Linked DNA regions of Struthio camelus. The protein of the gene in region 1 interacts with the protein of each later gene in a biochemical or structural test. Links are inferred from orthologs where the notes say so. Each region holds a gene or a part of one and is shown on either strand. Other genes may lie near its edges.

Region 1 (6,995 bases):
CCATGCTTTCTCTACTGATCATATGTTTGCACTGAAGGAAGCACACCCTTGGGACTCTCACTCCCAAATTTCAACTTCCTGCAACCACTGCCAGAATCTCCTACTTTGTGCCTTGCCCCAACTTTGTTAGTGAAATTCTAGGGCCCCTCTGCCTGAAACAGAGGCAAACATGAACAGCTTCTGTCAGAAGGTGTCTTAATAGAAGCTGTCAGAAGCTTGTGTCTTAACAAACTGAAAGTATCTCAGTAGAGGCAGAAAAGAAGTTACTACTTGCTGTTACCTAGGGACAGAAGGCTCAATGTAATGAAGGATGCCTTATCTAACTATACCATCCCCTCACCCTGCATAACCTGAATGCTACAGCAGTTCTTCATGCTACAAAACTAAGATAATTTATTAATTTTTTTTCCACGGAAGACAATTCAAGCAATCATTTAACTGAAAGAGATAAGTAAATAGAGACATTTGAAAATAATGGGAATCTAGTAATCAATTTGAACTACATCATGATTTTAAATTTAAGAAGGAAAAAAAAAAAAAAAGGCTCCAAGCTGTTAGGAGACTAGTAGTTTTAAGACAGCCAACTTGAAATCACCTTGTAATAACTGCATTTAATGATAATTTACTAAGCTCTTTCAAATGCCAGGTTCTTCAATGTTAGACAACACAAAAAGTTATGAATATCTCATTTTCAGTGTTTATACAATGTTATTCTTTCACATTTTCTTCACTTTGGAGAGGAATCGAGTTGTTTTTTTTCCCCCCCACTATACTCAGTATGGTAACCCCTTTCCCTTTCAGATGGGGGATGCTGCTTTTTCTGCTCATAATGGGATTGCAAAGCTCATTTCTATTTCTAAACTTACGTGCTTACATTAGAAGCAATGCAATCACATTCCACACCCCAGGTAAAAACCTCTGTATACTATACAGATATGAAACTGATAAACAAATGAAAACTTTCTTGAAATCAATTAAATGACACCAGTACAAGATAGGTGTAGACTAGTTCAGAGTTAGACCTCTGATTTCTGTAGGTTTATTCTGCATTTCTACATTACTACAAAAACAAAACCCCTGAAGGCGCACTGGCTGGACTTCATAACCGTCTACATTCTTCTACACCTCATCAGTCCAAAATTTCACCTTTCCTCAGTTCTTTTGCCAGTGTTTTCCTTTTTTATTACCTGGTTCTCTTCCATCATCAAAAGATGCATAGTACATGGAGTGATAAGGCAGGCATTATAACATTGCATTTTACAACGTTCAGGGAGCTGAGATGACACACCAGCAGGCAACTTCTTGGGCAGCCGCATATGCGAGAACACTAACTTGATGCTGTGCAATACACAAAAGCTAGAAACCCTCATCGAAATACGTTAGCAGAAATATGGGTAAAGGAGATTATAGGAACCAAGTACACATCTTCAGTCTAGTCCTCAACACCCTTCTTTGAAGTAGAGGAAGTGCCCCAAAGACAAGTCCCACTAAAGGTAGAATTTTGTCTTTACAATCCTCCTGCTTTTCTTCTTCATAACATAATTGATCTGAAATTTTACTGAATTAAAAAAAAAAAAGCTTCTAGTGATTGTTGTTCAAGCTTCTAGGGACTAAAGAAGCTTCTAGAGATTGTGAAATAGGAAATTTTAGAGAAAGGAGGAAGTTAATGCAACTCCCCCCTCATTCATATGAATCCTGCCACTCCTATCAACTGACTTGCAAGTACTGAAGAAAGAAGCCAGGCTACTGGCACGCTGAATATCTGGCAAAAATTGTGACCACAACTAGCCCTGCAGTACGCCCTATTAACACCCTCACTCTTAACTTGCTAACAGCTAGTATTTCCCATGAAACAGAACAAATGACAGCCTTCCTGCCTCTTGCCACACAGATGGCGACTACACTTACATCAGGACCAAGTGTATATGGCATTATCTCATGTTTAAGAAATTGCTTCCACCAAGATGGAGAGCCCCATTTTCAGATTCTTAAGGTCAGGTTCACAGAGCAGCATTGTTTTATACCAACTCTGAATGAATACAGAATATACATACTATTCCAAGGCTTTTTTTTTTTTTTTAAATATCCCTGCCCCCGAGAACATATGCTGGGACGAAAAAACCCCCAACACCCCTCAAAACAAGCCAGCAGCGGGCATGGGAGCGCGCTCAGGGAGAACGGCAAAGGCACACAACTTCCTGATCGCCCCTTCGCCCGCACGCGTGTTGTGCAGCAACCTACACGTAGCGCATCCTCCTCGCAATCCGTTTTAACCTTCCCAGCTGGAGACCGAAAGCCCCGCTCGGCACCAGCACGGCTCCTCCTCCACGGCCGGCAGGGGGGCGCCCCCCGCCGCAGCCGCGCAAGCCGGCGCGCACGTGGCTACGCGCGCAAGGCGCGGCGCCCTCCCGCCCGCTGCCCCGCGGTGGCGTGGCTAATGTTTAACAGCAAGGGCCGCACGAGCCTCCCGGGCGGCGGGTAGCCAGGTAACGGCCGTGTCCTGAGGCAAAGGCAGGAAGGAAGGGGAAAATGAGGGACCACGCAGCCCAGCGAACACCGGGCCGGGGGGGGGGGGGGAAGAGAGGGGGAAGGCAGGGGGCAAGAGCAGGAGCTAACGAGGAGGCACGGGTCCGCCAACCCCCCCCCCCCGCCACGGCTCGCCCAAGAAACCCTCCTGCCAGCCCCAAAAGCCAGGGTGGGGAACGGAGGGAGGCGGCCCCGATCGGCCGCCGGCTTACCTTGAGAACACCCTCATCCCGCTTAGGGGTGATGTCCACCCCCTCCAGGGGGGCCCCGTCCGCCTTCATCTCCTCTGCCGTCATCCCGCCTGCCGCTGCCACCGCTGCGGAGAGGACGGGGGGGGGGGGGGCCGCTCAGGGGGGGTCCGCACCGGCCTCAGCGCCCGCTCGCCTGCCCGCCCACTGGCTGCAGCTCCCACGCCGGTCAGCTCGCGCCCGGGCTGCGGCGGCACCTCGCGGCGGGGAGGGGGAGGGGGAGGCGGAGGCGGGCGGGCAGGCGCGCGCCTCCTGCGCCTCTACCTCCGCCGCAGCGCCGGCCCGGAGGTCGATGGGGAAGGGGAGGAGACAGGGGAGGGGGGAGGAGGGGCCGAGAAGTTTCTAGAGAGGTAGCCGAGAGGGTTTAAAAAGCCCGAGCCCGCCAGGGGCTGAGGGGAAAGTACGCGTTGTGTGGCCGCATGGGTGCGCACGCTGTAAGCAGCAGGCAGCTTTTTCTTTCTTTCTTTCTTTCTTTCTTTCTTTCTTTCTTTCTTCCCTTTTCTTTTTTCTTCCTCCTACCGCTACATGTTCTCAGATTTACATGAAAGCGCAAATAGGCACAAAGCAAAGTGCCTTCTCAGAGGCAGCAGTAGGAGTAGCTTGCATGTCTTTTGGCTTACTGAGCTGAGGAATCCGGTTAGAAGCTATGTGCTTAAAAATAAAACTATGTGAACCAAGAAGGGTAGGAACAGGCTTAGTACGCTTCTGACCCAAGTTCTGTGGTTAAGAATTAGCTTTGAGCAGTAAAACGTTTGTATGGGGATAAGTCATTCCGGTGGTTTTGTGCCTTGACCCACTCCCAGAGTGCTGGGCATTGCTGCAGCTTTGCAAAAAAGAAACGCCCTTTGAAAATGGAGGTTGTTAGTACAAGTACAGTGGAATAAGCAAACCAAGATTCTGAGCTTATTTGCAACAGCACAAACGTTATGCGTTGCGTGCTACCTTCAGTCCAAATATCTGCAACTTGCAATGATGTAATATCAGACCAGGATCCCCTCTGGCGATTCGGTGCTAAGTTTTGCAGCGCTAAACTTTCTACTGCAAGCCATTACTGCGGGATTCCTGGGGTTACCGCGTGCAGCTGTGCCTGCTCCCCCTTCCGTGAGCGTTGTGAGGTGGCGGGCGTGCTCCCGACCCTTCCTGAACTTTCTTTTCCCCAGTTTTCTCTCACTTTCTCGACGCGCCCTGGGCGGCGGTTGGGGGCGGGCGCTGCCGCTGCAGCGCGCTGCCTGCCGCACAGCGGCCTCTGCTGCCTGCGGGCGGCGGCGCCCTCCAGCGCCGCCTGCGTCCGCCCGGGCAGAGCGCGCTGCGCCGGGGCCGGGGCCGGCCTTCGCGCTCCTCCGCGCCGGCCCAACCGCGGTAAGTAAGCCGCGGGCTTTGAGTGAGAACGTCCGTATGGCCTGCACGGGCCCGAGAGCCGAGAGAAACCCGCTTATTTTGTGCTTTCTGCTTCTGCTTTCTCAACGTGATGTTTTGACCCCTCGATAGCAGCAGCCAGAGGCTGGTGGACAGATGCTCGGTGTTTCCAGAGGCAGTTTGCCAATCCCCACTGCCGCCTCAGGGCATTGGTCCGTGCGGTTCAGACCCCCCAAACCGTTAGTTTGGAAGGGATCCCTGGAAAGGCTGCAGGGGGCTTGGCAGCAGCCTGTGCAGTTGGTCTGTGAGCAGGCATGGTGCGTCTGCCCTGGCTCTGCAGTTGCTCTGTGTCAATATAAAACTACATGTATGCACAGTACACAAAGACTTTAGCACCGTTAGCCTGGCTCTGCCGATGGAAAACAGTGGAAAGAACCTAAACAAAGAGCCTGGTGTTATTTCAGTAGATGGATGCAAACTGTAAAATCAACAGGTTTCCCCTGTAAAAAAACATGCTTTTCAGGCCTAAGCAAACATCTGCTTTGGTGCAGTTTCAATCTGAGGAGTAAGTGGGGGTGAGGAAAAGAGAGAAAGAAAACACTGTTTTTTGGGTGCATTTGGTCTAGAAAGTTCTAGCTGCAGTCAACTCTCAGTTTCCCAAGGATCGGTTACTTAGGTTGCAGATTAAATCTGTGGGAGGTGCAAGCTGTTTCTGTGCATGCTAACCTAGACCTTGACACTCTGGGGAGCACAGAGAAGCATCAAATCTGGTTCAGGTCCAGCAAGTCTAGCAGGTCTTGTTAGCCGAGGCACACCAAAAACATGGAGATTCTTCATCTGTCTCCTGACCAACGAGTCCATACTGTACTGGGTTTGCAGTCTCAGGTCAGCGCTAACACACAAGTTCTCTGCACTCCAAAGTCATCGGTGCATCCCTGACCTCTCTTTTCCTAGATTTTCTCCTGTCATGCTCTATGCTGATTTAAAATAAATTTTTTTGCTGTATGCAAAAAAGTTTGAGTCTCCCCTGTCTTTTAAGCCTCTTTTAAAGTGTCCTTTAAGGTTTATTTATATTACCATAGCATTGGAAAAGACCCTGACTGTCATATGAGAGGCCTGTTTTCAGAAGACATATAGTAGAGTCATCTGATAGTTTTGAAAATGAAGGCAGTAACCGCCTGGGCAGTAAAATGTTCCCAAAACAACTATTTCCAGCAAGACTCTGGAACAGCCTCCCAGGAGGTCAAGCCTAGCTAATGTTGGTTTACAACTTGCTACATTTATGAATAGGTTTGTTTAAAGATTTGCCAGAGATCATAAGGTTTGGATGAAAAGCCATCAAAAGATAGGCGTAGTATAACACAGCTGAGCTTTAGCTTGTAGCCTGTTGGAAAATATGATTTAGGAGATCAAGGATAGCTTGTAATACTTGTGCTTGTTGCACTATAAAATATAATGATGCATAGTAAGGAGGAAACAATGTCAAATCTGTTTGATTTGCACGCTTTTTTGTTGCTTTTGGTTGCGTGACCCTTGAAGTGCACAGCAGAGCACAAGCTTTCTTCAGTGGAACCCTATGTCGTCAGTGCGTGTAACACCCGTGTTAGGCCGCTCAGGGTGTCAGCTGCTGCCCTCCACCCAAGTTCAGTCTACCCACTCTTCATTCATAGGGCTCTCAAAATCCCAGAGCCTGAGAAGCTTCCACTGCAGCTTCGCCGAGGTGTCCCAGTGTCCCTGCTGTCTTTTACTCCTGGCAGTATCTAACACAACAAGCCCCATGTTGTCCTTTTAGTTCAGGAGAAGAGTTGAAGTCAGTATTCCTCCTTACCCTTTACTGCATCACTCCAAACTGCAACAGGTTGGCATGACCCCCCTATCAAAAAGCATTAGACACGGGCCTCTCATGTTCCTTTTCAAATATAAACAGTGGTATTACACTTATCCCTCACTTTAAAACCCGGCAAAATTTGAAGAGAAATGATCTGAGCTGTTACATAGCGGGCATGCAAATGAGGCCCAAACCCTCCAACCCACAGAAAGCCAAGAGGCTCTGGATCGGCAGTTCTCAGTGATTTCAAAGCTGCTCTTCTGCTTGTTCACTAACAGATGTCAACACTTTTTGAAAAGTACAGGCCATAGGACTTGCATTTATATAAGTTCCCTTCTTTTTCATTTTCTAGTAAGATTTTTTTTCTCCTGTGCTTCTACACATAACTACTCTGTTTAGCATTATCTGTTAATTCCATTTATGTGATAGGTGCTGTCCTTTTTTAGATCACAGATACAGATTAAAAAGGTTAAACTTAGCACTTTCTTGTGTAGACAGTATATCACTGTCTTCACTGATCATAGCCTGTGAGCCTGTTTCAGTTCATAGGATGCTAGTTAAATGCTTTTGAACTAAGATTTTAATTACCTTTCCAAATCAAATGCAAAGTTATTTTATCCAAACAGATATCATCAGCTACTTTCATTTTATTCTTTCCTTTTGAGGTTTTATCTTTAAAAAGCAATTAAGATTGCTGGGCAGGTGTATATTTAGACGCTCAGGTTTTCTATTTCTTTGCATGGTAGCCAGTGAATATACCCTAATGGATGCATGCTGACATCACCAGAAAGGATGGGCAATTCCTGGTTCTTTCATTAAAACACAACAGTATTTTACTAAGCTTGGAAATTGTAGTCTTTTGTCCACTGCTGTAAAAGTGCCATAGGAAAGTACTGTCAATAATTACAAATGGGTGATTACCTGGTTGATTCTGATGCACTCGTAGTAAAAATGGTACTATATTTGTTTTTAATCAGTTCTCTAGCAACTCCAGCACAGGGATTGTTTAAAAAAAAAAAAAAAAAAAAAGGGTGAAT
Region 2 (7,353 bases), on another chromosome or scaffold:
TTTCTTCAGTGTATTAATCCTAACATGTCGTTATACGTTTCCAGATATTTATATGATAAAACGTTTCAAATAGGAGATTTTTTGCTGGTTTTTGAATAGACAAATCAAGGAAAGAAAATTTAAAGAAATTATTGTTGGACAATATTTTGTCCACGGGAAAACCCATTCTTTGAAGACCTTCAGTTGCTACTGAAGATGATCACAGAGATCATAATCAGACTCGAGCAATATTGCCAAAACATTCCATCCCTCCCTTCCTTTCAGACTTCCTCTTTATCTATATTCAACGTAAGTACGTTCTCCCAGCCCCTCAAAGCGCATACACACAATTTCTCTTCCATTAGCATCAGCTTAGCTGTTTGCTCTTACGGTTTTGGCCAATGCTGTTATAGCCATCTGAAATTCTCTCTCCTGCCACAGAGGGCCACTGTCACTTTCTGTTCGTTATGAGGTTGGCCTCTCTTCTCCCTTCTGCTTAACTCACAGGAAAACAGCTGTTAATAGCTTTGTTAAGATTACTGTGACTTGAGTACACAAGTCATAGTAACTCAAATTACACTAGAATGTGCACTTCACACAGACCAACTGATTAACTATTCATATGTGCACCCTTACTCCATAGTGAAAGTAGCTTTCCCACCTCATATGCAGCTTTAACTATTAATGGTGTGTTTAGCACACAGCTAAGACGTAACATAAATCTAAACTTACCTTATTTTTCTCATTTTGAACTACTTCTAATAACTGAGCTGCATATCCATCTTCTAAACACTTCTGGCCTGCTACCTGAAACAGATTAAAATCTTCTCCCCTGAAATCAGCTTCTTCCAGAATTTGCTAGAAAGAAAATACGCATGTTTGACTCTGTATTTTATAAAAGACAAAAAATAAGCAAACCCAAGCTTTCATTGCAAAGTCAAATGGAATGTCTTTTCTTGCATATCATCTTTTATATACTAAAAATAATTACTGAGAGCCACTACAGAAGAGAAAGCAGTATTTCAATAGTATTTTCCAAGTCTAGACAACAGCATGTTACTTGGGAGATGCATTTTCTGCAACAATCTGCTAGCGTTTTGTTCCTTCACACAGCTACTGCTGAGTGAAACAAGAACATATCTTCCTCCAAGAGGCAGAAGTTACCAAGCATCTTGGGATAAGCACCAAAGAGAAGGCAATGAAGCATGAAGGCTAAACCTAGCTGCCCAATGAGGAGTTCTGCTAACAACCGTCCTGCTTTTAGGGTCATTTTGCTTTTAATTACAGTGTATAAAGACAAACTTACTCTGCTTTCGCCTACAACTGTTATGAAAAGTACTTACGCATCTCTGTATTATGGCTTGAAGTTCATCAACTGCCATTATAGTTTGACTTTGTTCTTCTGGCATTTAAAATTTCTGTAATAAATTAAAAAGAGTGCAATACTAAACCACCCAAAGTAAAAACAGAGGTTGAAAAATAATCACATTGTCAAAAGAACGCTGAATAGAGAAATGAGAAGACTCAAGACAAACATATTACGAAGACTGAATTATAGAAAGATAGGAGAAAAGCATCTTTAAGGAGTGTATGCTATATTATTCTACCTCCTGTACTTGCAGGAGATACTATTTTAGACAGGAAGCAGCCTACATTGCGTACAGGGGAGTAATTTTTCAAATGTTATCAGAGGTATCTTAAAAATTTGTCAGCAGGCTTTGGCTACTACATGAACACCTACATTGAGAACTGCAACTACTGCAGAGCAAGTCTGGACTTGCTGCGTACCAGGTGCGGATGTCCCCGCTACGCTACATTTGCTCTGAATATGCTAATCAGATGAGCTCTCTGCTTAGATCTGACTAGAAGGCTCTAATTAGATGATGCCTGGGATGTGCATAGCTGATCCAACCACCGTGCCAGTTTATATCAACACCGTTTTAGTCTCATAAAGATTACATGTGCAGTATCATTTACTTCTTTCTACTGCTGGTTCAGTGGCCTTTTACCTCTAGACACTACAACTGCTGTTGCTGAAAGCAGTTAAGTTAAACATTTGAGTAAAATTAAGTGCATATCAAGTTCTACCTGGTCAGGGCCATGACTTACAAATAAAGTCAAGTTCAGTTTTCTCACGTGATATATCATAGCGGTAGTCACATTCTTTCTTTATGCTTTACGTTAATTCCACGTGCATAAATATGGTTACATAACCACTGTGACTGTATGCACAAGTCACTTGCCTCTGCCCTTGAGTGAACAGCTAACTCTCACGAAAATATCCAAGCTCCGTATCTATACGGCCATCTCCATGTACGGTTCTCCATCTTTCCCCTTAAGTTTGACCTTAGCTAACGCAATACCTACGCATCTAAGCTATTCAGATATTTACAAAAATCAGTCAACTCACTATAACCTATAAAGCACCCGTATGTGAATTTTATTACTGAAAGAATAAATAACTTACTTTCTGTTCTAAATTGCCTATTTTAACATTTCTACTTCACTCCAATGTAGCAATGCATCGGGCCTGTCATTTTAATTTTGTGATTATCATACACTTTGTTAGCATTCACTGCACTACTTCAGCTCTTAATTTTACAGGATCTTACTAATTCCCCCCAAACAATGTAAAGATACTTTTGAACGTTAATAGCCCTGCATTTTCAGCCCTCAGTAACTTTATAATGCATTGACAGCCTTGAGGCATGCCCTGAGCTGCCAGGGATTTGCCAGCTGAGCCCAGAGCCAGTTCAGGTCTTAACACTTAATCCACTTCCGAATTAAGTCTTTTCAGTGGTTTCAGTAGCCAACGACACCTGAATCACGAAGAACTGTCCGCTACCAATTCTCAAGCGAACTGCCCCCTCACTGGTAACATCCAGTTGTTTTCAGCCCCTTCCCTCGCTGGGCGACGGCACGCAGGCCAACGCGAGGCGGCTGCCGCCCGCGCCCGCCAGGCTGAACGAAACGCGCACCACGCCGCCGCCCGCTCACCTCAGCCGCGGCCGCCGGGCTGCGGCCCCTCCGCGCCGCCACCGCCACCGCCTCCCGCCGCTCCGGCCCGGCCCGGCCCGGCCCGCCCGGCCGCCGCCGCCGCCTCTCCCCGCTCGCGGCCGCGGCCCGGCTCCGCCTCCCGGTCAGAGGTCAGAGGGAGGGAGCGCGGCGGCAGCGATGATGGCGGCCGCGAAGCCGCAGGGCGTCGCGAAGGGGAAAGCGAGCCGGCGGCGCGCAGGTAGGCTCCGCGTGCCGCCCCTCTCCCCCCCCCGTGCGGCGCCGTGGGCTCTCCCTGTGCCCTGAGGCCGCTCCGGCGGAATGACCCAACTCGCGGCACAGGAGGAGAGGAGGCCTGCGGGTTCCCGGGGTCTCTGCTGTTGCCTGTGCGGCGACAACGGTTGGAACACCTCCCGGCGCGGCTCCCGCCCTTCCGGCGGTGCCCGCGGGGCTGGAGGGGGCTCTAGAGGTTGCCGTGAGCTCGGTGGGGCTGGGGAGGGGCGGGCAGCGGTGCGGCGCCGCCGCCGCCGCCGCCTCCTCCTGGGGCTGCGGGCCCCGCTTCTGCCGCGGTGGGCGGCGCCGGCGCCGGGCGTCAAACGCGCCGCATTTCACAGCTGATCAAAGCCCCTGAAAATACACGTGTGAAGCTTATCAGTCTGTTTTGTTTCCGCCCTGCTGCTCCGTGTTTGCCTGGACAGTATTGACTGCCCAGAAAGTACTGAAAATGGCTTCATGTTTTTAAAAAAAAAAAAAGTGGCGTATGCACGAAGGAGATGGGCGGTGGCAGGGAGGACGGGGCTCCGGCGGGGGGACGCCGCGTCTCCTCTTAAGTGCGGGAGACGTCAGGTGTGTTGGCACGGAGGGGCTGCCTGGGCGGGCGCAGGAGAGCGGGGTTGGCGCAGGCAGAGCCCCGCTGCGTCGGCGGTGCCGTGCCGGAGGCCGCGGCCTGTCGCCGGGCGGGGGGCCGGGCGGGGGGCCTGCGTGGCCGAAGGCAGCCCCTGCCCGCGGCCAGAGTGAGGGGAGGGTGAAAAAAGGGTATCGCTTCCCAGCGGTGTGGCCGCAGGGGGAGAGCTGCGTTTCTCAGCTCAGACAGAAGCCGTTTTCCTCTCGCTTGCTCGTTATGCAGAGCCTGTCACACGAGAGAACAGCGTTAGGCCTGTCTGTCCGCTCGCGTACAAAGATTGCGTCTAACTAGTTGCTGAGTGGATTACCAGCTTACGGTAGCTAGGCGCAGCCACCAAAAACCAAGCGCCTAAGCAACTGCCTTGATTATGGTTACAGTTTGGAGTTTGTAATGTTTTCCTGGATCGAACTATTTGCACGGTGGCTGAGCATGGAAACATGACAGTTCCGTTTGTTCACGGCTTAAAATGCATTTTAAAGGAAGAAGGTATACTGATTTATCTATTTGATTTCTAGGAAATAAGCATTCAGCTGCTCTGAAGAATGAAGATGCTGCTCAGAGGTACGATTTCTAACTAGTAGTACATAGCGATCTCATTGTTTTGCTTCATTTTGATTATATTCTCCATTTCACTTTTTTCTTTTTCTTTCTCAAAATACCATAGCTAACTTAAGGAAATAAGCCAGTATACAGATCATGCTAACCTGTTTTCAATGATGCTGCATAACTTTTAACTACATACCTTAATATAGAGATACCTCATTCAAACACTTACAAGATAAAACACCACTTCCCTACTTAAAGCACTAGACAAGGTAGTGAGTGATAGTAGCTGTAGAGGGTGGTATTATCATTTTTTTCCCCTTGAAACCCTTTGATTTATTCCTTCTTTTCTTTTGTACCCTCACGCTCAGTCTTGTCCTAGTCCTTTTTCTTTCCTGTACTTGACGCCTCTCCTGTCAATCCATAGATGTTTGTCCCAGGCTTTTGGTCCAGCCCGTTCTGGGCTTCCCCTCCTTTTAAGAAGAGTCAGGTTTTATAGTTGGCTTTTTTAAAAGTAATACTTCTGGTAAAGTAATAATAGCTGACTTAAGTCAAAAGACATTGTTGTTGGATTTCAGACTGTACTGCTAATAATTAGATTTCTATCTTATTTTCTCAACTCTTTATCTAAATCTTGAAACACTGATTTCGGAGTGTCTTAACTCTTTAAGATCCTACTTGAGAAACCAGTTCCTATCCTCTCTGGGGGATTCTCAAATGACCCTTGGAAAAACAGATACATCTCTTCCATCTCTTATTGAGCATTTGCTGAACATGAACCCGGTATTCTTTAGAATGATTATAGCCAACTTTTGAGTCCAGAGCTGTATATTAAATCTTAACAGGGCTAAAAGCTGCAGGACAGATATTATGTGCTGTACAGGTGTGGGGGAGGAGCTGACATCTTCTTGTTGGATGAGCATGTAGCTGGCTCACACAATGACTCAGAAATGTCAGCCTGAGCAACTTGGTCTGGTTTGCCCCTTCCAAGTGCCAGAGATTTGGTTTACATAGCGTTTATTACCCATCTGAATGGCAGACTTGAACTGCGCACTAACTTCATGCGGATCTTAAGTCTCAGATTTGTCATCCTAGACTTGATAGTACTTAGGCCAAGCTCCAGGAGAATAGCTTGACCAGAAAGAAAAATGAAACGTGTTTAACCTCCAGTCTTTTCAGAAATGAAGATTAAATGGTTGTCCTTGTTTTACCTATGGGCTCATACCTTCTTCCTTTAACCTGGGTGGGACAGCATGTCACCTGTTCCAGAGCAGGAAACAAGTGGCTACATGAGCAGTAAATGCTGCCCAAAACGTTCAGAATCTTAGTGCCGATGCAAGTGGCAGGAGAGGGGTTTTTTTCTGGTGAGAGGAAGAACTACAAAGGGAAATCTCTGTTCTGTCACTTGGGCTGCTGGTGTTTAATCACCGTAGTTCAGAGCAGGAGAATAAAATTCAGCAAAGACCAAAATCCGGGTATATCAAGAAAATGTAATACATAGTGGAGTCTCATTGCAGCCACCTGGAAGGATATAATGGAACGTATGACCAATGAGTGCAAGCAAAACTGCAGTTCTTGTGGCAGAACGTGTAATTCCATTGTATAGTTAGACTCTTACATGCTTATGTAGTAAAAAGCGTACCCCTGCCTTTTGAGTTCTTACACTTTTGAGCCTCCTCTGTTGGGAGAACTGGTTTGGGGTGATAGAGTAGTCCTAAACTAGGGTTTCTGTGTGTGCAAAAGATGATTGCTTTTTTCCCCATTATATCTTTTGGTCTAACAAAAATTACTGTCTCTTCTTGCAGAGCTCTCTGTTTTTGTTTTTTTAAGTGTCACAGGCACAACAAACCTACTGATATAGTTAGTTATCTTGTGGCAGCAATGTATTTACTTACCAGACAGGAGGTTCTTCTCCCTCTTGAAGCTTTTACTTTTTTCTTCTGTGGTGTTTTGCCAATAAGAGTCAATGCTTTTCTGACTGAGGGGAAGAGAAAAGTAAACAAAGTTTGGAAACTTGTTTGGTGGCCTGTGATTATTAGAAAATTCCTAGTCCAATTACTTGTTGCTTTGTTAGGCCACCATGGTGAAATGCAGAAAAATATAAGCTGCTATATTTCAGAAAAAAGAGATAGAGAAGACTGGGTAAATTGTTCATGGGAGTCTGCTCTCTCTGTCATCCAGTGTTTGTTCTGTTAAAGGAAAGCAGCCCTGGAGGCTGCTATTAGAAAGAAGATTGAATTTGAAAAAAAAGCACTGTATACTGTTGAACAGCTGCTGGAAGAGAACATCACTGAAGAGTTCCTTGTGAATTCTGTAAGTGTTGCAAGTTTTTATACCATTTTGTATCTTAGCGTTAGAATTTTTTTAAAAAGTTCTTGGAGCTGTTTTCTGCAGTTTAAAGTAGACAAATCTCTTCAGATCTGAGGACGATTGCCGTATTTTCAGGGGTTTTGCAGAGAAAATATGCCCTAGTTTTCAAGGACTGTATACACTTATGTGTATATACTCACTTTATTACCACAGCCTTCATTTATGCCTCTTGAGCTCCTGACTGATGGGTGAAATATTAAAACGGTAGCTCCGGATCACCTCCTCTGTGGATTTAGAGAAAGTTTCTACAATGCTGCTCTTTGCCCCAAAGTTTATCTGGCAGCACTGTTTTGCTGGCGTTGTGTGAGGATTATTCCTGCTGCAGTTACCTGAAGCGAAGCACTGCAGGAACATGTTACAGTTCTGGTACATGTGGGTTTCCTAGCTAAGTTTTCCATGACCAAATTGGAAACGGTACATAGAGTGGGAGCTCCTGCTGCAGTAGGAGAAAGGTGACCACATATGGTGAAATCAAGTCCAGAATTAGTTGCATGGCCCAGGCCAAATACAGGATAGTTTCATCTGGCCAAAGCTGAGAGATCAAGCTCAGGATGACTGTGTTG
Region 3 (7,513 bases), on another chromosome or scaffold:
ATTTATAGATACTTCAGTCAAGCTTATCGTAACTAGTAAACACCCAGGCAAAGGTTCTAAATAAAATTAAGAAAATTTTCACTAATTAGTCTGCTCACGTTATCATGAGAGTTGTAGGAGTCTACGAGAATACTCCCGTGTGCAAGCTAAAAAGAAGTTTAGTTTTCACCGTAAAACATCATTTAATGCAGCTATTCCCCCTACCACTTGGAAACAGTTAAGCAGGGTACACCGACACATGAGGAGACACACTGCTGGGGCCGTGCTTCGTCTGACACATGACGAGTACTACCCACGTTATATACTGGTGCTACTGAGCTCTACAACGCCTAGAGCAGGAACCTGAACGGCAAACATCTTTATGGCAAACATCTTTAGAAAACACACTTGAGCAGAAACCTGGAACACTTACCGTTATCAAGTCTGACAGTGAAAGATCCTCCAGCTGATGACTCCCAAGCGTACTGCTCATCATCATTGTGCTTGGTAATCACAGTCACTTTCTCCGCAACAAGGTAGGCAGAATAGAAGCCAACACCAAACTGACCAATCATGGATATATCAGCCCCTGCCTGCAGTGCTTCCATGAAAGCCTTGGTACCAGACTTGGCAATAGTACCAAGATTATTAACCAGGTCAGCTTTGGTCATCCCTATGCCTGTATCCACAATGGTCAGAGTGCGATCATGCTTGTTTGGAATCAGGTTAATTTTCAGATCTTTCCCAGAATCCAGTTTGCTTGGGTCAGTCAAGCTCTCGTATCTTATTTTGTCCAGCGCCTGTAAGAGAAGAGACGGGCTTTAACATTCCCCGACTACTCCTAACAGTTCTGGAAATCATACTGAAACAAGCTCATCTAGCAGCTCAAGTACTTACATCTGATGAATTGGAGATCAGCTCCCTCAAAAAGATTTCCTTATTGGAGTAGAAAGTGTTGATGATCAGAGACATCAACTGAGCAATCTCAGCCTGGAAGGCAAAGGTCTCCACCTCCTCCTCCATTGGTTGATCTTGAGTCTGCACAGCTTCTGGCATCTGTAAGAGGAGGTAAGGTGAAGCTCCACCCAAACCAACTGCCATTTGATGTCCATACCCATTTACAATCCAGGATAACAGCATTTCGAGATCCAGACACTAACAACACGGCTTCAAATACAACACTCAACACCATCGGTTGAGAAGAGCAGATTGCGTTTCCGACCAGTAACAATTTCAAGTTTTCCCGAATTCTGAGAACTGACTCCAGATTGAATCTGTGGACCCCGACTTGCATTAACCTTTAAGGATAAGGCAAAAGAACGTTACCGCTCCCCTCGAGAATCTGCGAATGAATTCAGCACCCTTATGTCCCCTGGACACAGTCTAAGCGCTGCGTGTTTTTACCCTATAGAAAAATCTTACTGACAGCTTGGCCTGGCGTTTTAGAGATACTGGTTGGATTATTCTGCAGTCCACTAAGTCTCAACTCGGAGTGTTTCCTTCTTCTCCCATCCAGCTTCTACTTTGCTCACGCAGCTATTATCTTCACAGAACCGTCTGGTTAAACGACTTCGTCCTACGCAGGCGCGTTACTCAAGCTTGACAAACAATCTGTTGCTTAGGAGGCCCTCCCCAATGAGGGGGGGCTCAAAAGCGTCCCCACTTCATCCGCTACAGGATGAATGGAGAGCAACGCCAAATTTCTGTGCCTCAACTATACCGCTGAAACAGTAAGAAACAATCGACAACTCGGTCAAGCAGCGCCTAAGGCTGCGAACACGCCGATCGGAACGGCCTCCTTTAAAAGACTGGCAAGAGAGATTTAGAGCCACTGCTTCCCGAGAGGCTCCGAGCAGGATCAGCCTCCCGGCGCGCTGGGCCGCGGCGCCCCCTACAGGCTCCCGGCAGAAGCATGAAAGGTTCTAGAAACTGCCAGAGCCTTCCTCAACCGCCACCCCCTCCTTCTCCCTCCACCCACTCCCTGACAGCACCAGTCCCACGCAGCGCGCACCCTCCTCCACGAACAGGGCGCATAGCTGACCACGTCTTTTCCTCTCTTCTTCCCCTCCCGGCACCCCACGCTTTCCTCATCCATTTTCCCTACAAGAACCGCCCGCCTCCATTCCCTCCATCTTGTGCCGCCATGGCCGAGCTCATTCATTGAGCTCGAGGCTTCCGCCCGCCCTTCCCCCGACCACCCCGCTGTAGCCGAGCCAGCGGGTCGCGGCACAAAGCGCCCCACGGTAAAGACGGAACCGGTCCCAAAAAGATAGCCCTCCCCCGTGATAAAACGGCCTACCCACGACCTAAGCCCCCCTCCCCCCGCCGTTTCTCCCTTTTCCTCCACCCTTTTTAAGGAAAGGCAGAAAAAACTCCGGCTCCACAAACGACAGCACCCCCCCCCTTCCTTCACCGAAGCCCAGACTTTGAGACCTACCACCCCTCCGCGCCCACTTTCCCCGGGACTAAGGCGAAAAAGGGAAAAAAGTCACCCCCTGCACCACGCGGTTCCCCGTTGTAACCCCCCCCAGCCCCCGCCCCCCATCACAGCACCGCGCGGAGGCATGCGCCAGCCGCTCAAAGCGGAAGCGAAAACGCGCTCTCCGGCGCCTGTTCGGGACTCAAGTGCTAACCATCCTTTGTGTGCCACCGCCTCCGCTCACCTTTGCAGGGGGGGAAAGGCTGCTAGTCTCCTCAGTCAAGCGGCGAACGCGCTCTACCCGCACCGTTGCGCCTCCACTAGTGCGCGCTCCCCGCCGCCCGCTGGGTTTATATAGGTCCGGCGCCGCCTCCTTCCAGAACCATCGGGAACCTTCACTGACAGGCACGGGGGAGGGGGCAAGCCGGCGGGCGGGAGGGGCACCTGGGGGCGGGGCCGAGCCCGCCGCAGCCAGTGGTAGCCGTCCGCGAAAGGCGCTCGTCACAGGGCGAGTCTCGCGCATGCGCCTGCCGTTGTCTCAAGTGTCAGGGCGGGCGGGATAGGCGGGGGGGGGGGGGGGGGGGGAGATGTGCGCGAGCGAGCTAGGGGGCTGCATGAGCGCGCGCTCTCCGTTCCTCCAACCGTCAGCTCGGTCGAGAAAGCGGAGAGTTGGGGAGGCGGGGTGGGGGAGGCGCATGCGCGGTGGCTGCCCGGGGTGGCGGTGGGGCGCGCGCGCGGCGCTCAGGGGGAGGGGTCCGGCGGGATTGCGCAAGCGGCGGGGTGACATCATCCGTCGCCCCGCGCCTCTCAGAACGTCCTAGAAGCGGGCGGGGCCAGGCAGCTGCGCCCCTCCCCTGCCCGCCGCGCGCCCCGCCGCGCCGTTGAGAAGGGCCTAGAAGGCGCCGGGCTCCCCGCGCCGGGCTCCCCGCGCTCCCCTCCCCCTGCCGGAGCCTCCCCGGAGCCGGCGTGGGGGGAGAAGCCGCCCCGGCTGCCCTCAGGGCCCAGCGTCTCCCGCTTCACAGCCGCAGCCGGGGCGCCGCGCCCGCCCGGCCCCGGGCGCGGTTAAACGCGCCGGGGTGGCTCCCCTCAGGCCGGTTGCGCAGGTGGCTGCGGCCCTGCTGCTCCTCAGGCCTGGGCTGCGGGTAGCACGGGGAGGCTGGCGGGGGTCGGGTGGCAGCGGGCTTGCCCTGCCGGGCAGGGCGTCTCCCGAGCCCGGGAGGACACGTCCGCTCAGCCAGGCGCAGCTGCGTGAATCACAGCTTGGGGATGCTGCGGTAAAGCGTTTCACCTAATCGGGAAAACCAAGCCGCTTCTCACAAAGCAAGTGGCAGTCTGCAAGCTGAACGAAACCGTACCTCTCAGTATACATATTTCTCTGGGATAAAAAGAGGTGAGGGATGAAATCCAAGAGGCTTGGAAGACTCGCGTAGCTGTGCAGTTACCCCTGTTCAGGATTTAGGTGCTAACAGTAGCTACTAGAAGGATGCCAATGATGGTTAGTTTATGAGAGCCTTGAGTCTGAAATTCCCTGGCGTTCTAAGACTGGATTTGGCCTGCACCATCTAGCGCGTGAGAATATCTCTGAGACCGAGCATAAAGAAGTCTATGAGTACGTGTCTCTCATTAAACTGAGTAGCTAGCTCTGTGATTAAGGCGTTTAGCTTAGCTGGGGAGGTTATTTTTAAATCCTGAACTACCCAATAGGAAGCAGGGAGTTAAATGCAGGTCTTCCCTGTCTCAGGAGAATGACTTGCATCACATGTGTTCCCGAGTAAGCTTCTAAAACTTTCTTCTTGGAGCTGCTCCGCTTTCTATGGATACAAGTATTAAGTGTCACAACTGTCCACAAATGACTGAGGTAGACATGGATCTAGAGAATCTCTCTGCTGTCTTTTCTCTGAAAAGAGTAGCTGTTTATCCGTTGGAGGAATAAAAACGATGCTGTTTCTGTAGCAAAAGTTCGTCTCGGGCCCAACTTCCTTTTTAGCGTTTCCACTTGGATCTCTTAGATGTACTCCAGACACCTGTCTAGTTCGGCATCTGATTGACTTTTGAGAATCCAGTTGTTTTATGCCCGAGCTGCCCTCTTCCCAGTTAAACATTCTAAATTAGAGGGGGGGAGCGTGCCACAGAAATTGGATATTGCAATGCTTAGGTCTGTTAAGGCATTTAACTGAAGATCCTTAGGATGAATCTAACATCCTTAACATGCTTCATCCTGCAGTTTGACCTAGACAAACAAATCTGATTGACTTGTGGCCTGCAGGTCTGATTTTCTTGCAGTTATCATGCCTTTCAGGGAGTTTTCAGTAGTTCTGGGTACCTTCTCTGATGAGCAAGAAGATACGTTAAGTGTAAGACGTCAGGTAGGATCAGCCAAGGAATCAAAATTGCAGCTGCTTGCTTCATTGTCGCTGCTGCTCTTGTCTACATCAGGGTCTTCAAAGATGCAATGACTTACAGGATTCTGCCCCTCCCAATAGGGTCATTACACTTCTGACCCAAGCAGTCAGCCAAAATACCTGGGCCTGTGGGTCCTTTTGGTTACACAGAGAAATTGATCGCAGTGTCAACAATAACTTGCGAGGGTGTAAGAGGAGCTGTTCCTCAGCACGCAAGAATAACCAAACGATAACTGTGAGTTTATTTGCTTACAGTGCTAAGGCGCTGCAAAAAGCTGGAACTGAACCGACGCTCAGCCTAGAAAGGTCTAAGTTTTTGCGTGGGTGACCTTTTAGTGCGTATTCTGCCTGTTTCTTTACTTCTTTCTGTGCCTAATCCGGGTCTGATTTGTGGTGCTTCTCAATGCCTTTCTTTTTCTCTAACACATATGCACGCTACAAAATAACATGCACCAAAATCCTTTCTTGAGCATTACGTGTTCTTTTGTTTTCATGCCGCATGTGTTTTGAGTGGTCCTACTGCTGCTTTGGTTGCCTGCTTCCAGAAAGCAGCTTAATGATTTCTTACCACTGCCTTAATAAAGTGTGGCAGTTAAATCCGAGCACAAGAGCGTAACTTCCATATTTTTCTTCGATTAAATGTAATCCGGCTGTATAAATTCCTATACGACGTGCCTCTTAGGCTGACACCCTCTTACATTCAAACTCCGTCACCTGAAATGTTCGATTGTTTTCTAAAATTTGTGTCAAAAATTCTAGTAAATTCTATGTTTTACAAAACTGCTAAGCTATTGAAGAAATCTGTCCAGTTATTTTCCCAGGACTATCCTACTAAAATTCTTTTGCATGCGCTCCTCTGGAGAAGTCCACAATATTAAGAGTGCAACTTCTATTAATATTTTCGAGACGTTATTCTCAAGAAAATCTTTTCCATTATAAGCCCTTGTTTACTGTCGATTCAGTCTTTCAGGCTTACGGCTTTACTTAATTTTTAAGCATATGAAAACCTGTGGCAGATTTTGCATGGTGTCTGCAGGATCCTGGACCGGAATTTATATCGTCTAATCTGGTAGTCGTATTAGTCTGTTTCTCTTTTGCAATTGTGTTATTAAACTCTCAAAGGCAGCCTTCAACAGACGGACTTTTTGTCAAAATAGTTGTTTTCCCTCCACTAGGAGAAAGTAATCTTGTACCAAACCATCTCCGTTTTCCCAGCTTTGCTTAACCCAGCTTCTTATAATTGTGTGCCTGTATAAAGCTAATATTTTCTTCATGGATTGTGACTAGATACTCTTTTTTGTTCTTTTAGGCCGTGATGGCTAGCTAAAACGCATTTTGTTCCTGTGGTTGCTCCATGTTAACTGACTCCAGTTTTGCATTGCTTCGGTTTTAGGGCTAAAACATTCCAGACGTGGTTTCTGTCAGAGTTAATTTGGGGGGTGAGGGGAAATCTGAGCAAAATAATTCCTTTTTTTTCCCCCAGCAAAGAGATTAAAATACTTTCTTGTTATAACAAATAGCTCTGCGAATAGAGGAAATGCTGACACCTGAATTTTTCAAGTCCTATGTTCTCGGCACATTTACACTGTTGTTCTCTCCTATGTCCCCTAGGCATCCCTGGCACCTCTCCTCATCTTCCCAAACTCATCTATCCTTTATCCACCTTTCTCTGATTTCCAGCCTGAGCAAGAGGCAGTACACACTATGGCTGGGGCACACTCATGTGCTTAGTGACTAGTGAGCTGTTGTCTCCTAGCTGTTAGGTCAGCCAAACGGGGAAGATAAATCTGAATTCTCCCCATCCTTTCCTTCAAAAGGGGCAGCAGGAGAAGGTGTTTCTGCTACTCAGCTATTGATTTTCTCAAACCTTGATATCTCTGTGATCCCTGTACCTTTGCTAAGTTTGACCGAATTGGTTAATAGGTCGAAATCATTAGGGAGGGACTGATGGGCAACAGCCATACTGTTGCGTATGTCTCCATTTCCTTAGGAAACTAGACTAAAAATATTCTTGCAGTTTTTTCAGCAGGTGGTGTAGCCAGTGTCTGAGGGATGGGTTTTCCTACTGATGCAATATTAGAATGAATAACGTAGGGAAACTGCCATGTAGTCTGCAAGATTTATCACTTCAAAGATTACTGTAAGCGCAAAGGTAAAAATCCCCCACAACCCACAATATGCAATCTAAGCCAAGGCAAGCAGTTCTGATTTCCCCTTTTTCTTGTCAGAATCTGAGCAACTTCTGCCTTCAGAAAGTTCACATTTCGATCAAATGTTGCAGAATCGGGCCTTCTTTAACGAAAAGCTATTCCATACCAACCACACGTGCTAGAAAGTTAAGATATGCTCTGCACTAACTGCATAGGCCTCAACCTTGCATTTGCTGATTTCCTAAGAATGGGCGCCATACTTGTTCCCATATGTATTTGCACTGTAATAGTCTTTAATTAACACAATTTCATAGAACTCCTTGCCACATGAAAGTTACAAAATGAACAAAGAACAAAGTAAAAGATGGAAGGAATGAGGAAAGAAAGTTATTTAATATCCAAACCATTGAAATAATACCCAGGAAAACTGGTTTTTATTCTTGATTCTGCCATAAGCTTCTTCAGTGTTGCTGAATAAACTTTTTTATTTGTATAAGCCACAAGGAAGTTAAATGAGCTTTGCATAGAGAATTTTAATTCTAGCATTCAATTAACTTTTGAGT

What was found.
Region 2: the proteins of FKBP4 (region 1) and GLMN form a complex in vitro, tested with the Homo sapiens proteins (2 studies listed by BioGRID). The link is inferred for Struthio camelus from reciprocal best matches to the Homo sapiens genes FKBP4 and GLMN.
Region 3: the proteins of FKBP4 (region 1) and HSP90AA1 form a complex in vitro, tested with the Homo sapiens proteins (4 studies listed by BioGRID and IntAct). The link is inferred for Struthio camelus from reciprocal best matches to the Homo sapiens genes FKBP4 and HSP90AA1.

What each region holds. Positions count from the first base shown.
Region 1 is NC_090942.1:88,453,787-88,460,781, forward strand, and holds the start of FKBP4 (peptidyl-prolyl cis-trans isomerase FKBP4), read right to left. Parts: upstream 3,083-6,995; 5' UTR 2,823-3,082; coding exon 2,739-2,822; intron 2,487-2,738; exon of another isoform or gene 2,425-2,486; intron 1-2,424. UniProt on the Homo sapiens protein: Immunophilin protein with PPIase and co-chaperone activities. Component of steroid receptors heterocomplexes through interaction with heat-shock protein 90 (HSP90).
Region 2 is NC_090949.1:18,832,257-18,839,609, reverse strand, and holds the start of GLMN (glomulin), read right to left. Parts: upstream 3,062-7,353; 5' UTR 2,977-3,061; intron 1,398-2,976; 5' UTR 1,389-1,397; coding exon 1,323-1,388; intron 838-1,322; coding exon 712-837; intron 1-711. Other genes in the region: putative RNA polymerase II subunit B1 CTD phosphatase RPAP2, read left to right, coding at 3,154-3,214, 4,393-4,438, 6,619-6,733.
Region 3 is NC_090946.1:71,305,221-71,312,733, forward strand, and holds the start of HSP90AA1 (heat shock protein HSP 90-alpha), read right to left. Parts: upstream 3,062-7,513; 5' UTR 2,922-3,061; coding exon 2,643-2,921; intron 1,036-2,642; coding exon 877-1,035; intron 780-876; coding exon 413-779; intron 1-412. UniProt on the Homo sapiens protein: Molecular chaperone that promotes the maturation, structural maintenance and proper regulation of specific target proteins involved for instance in cell cycle control and signal transduction.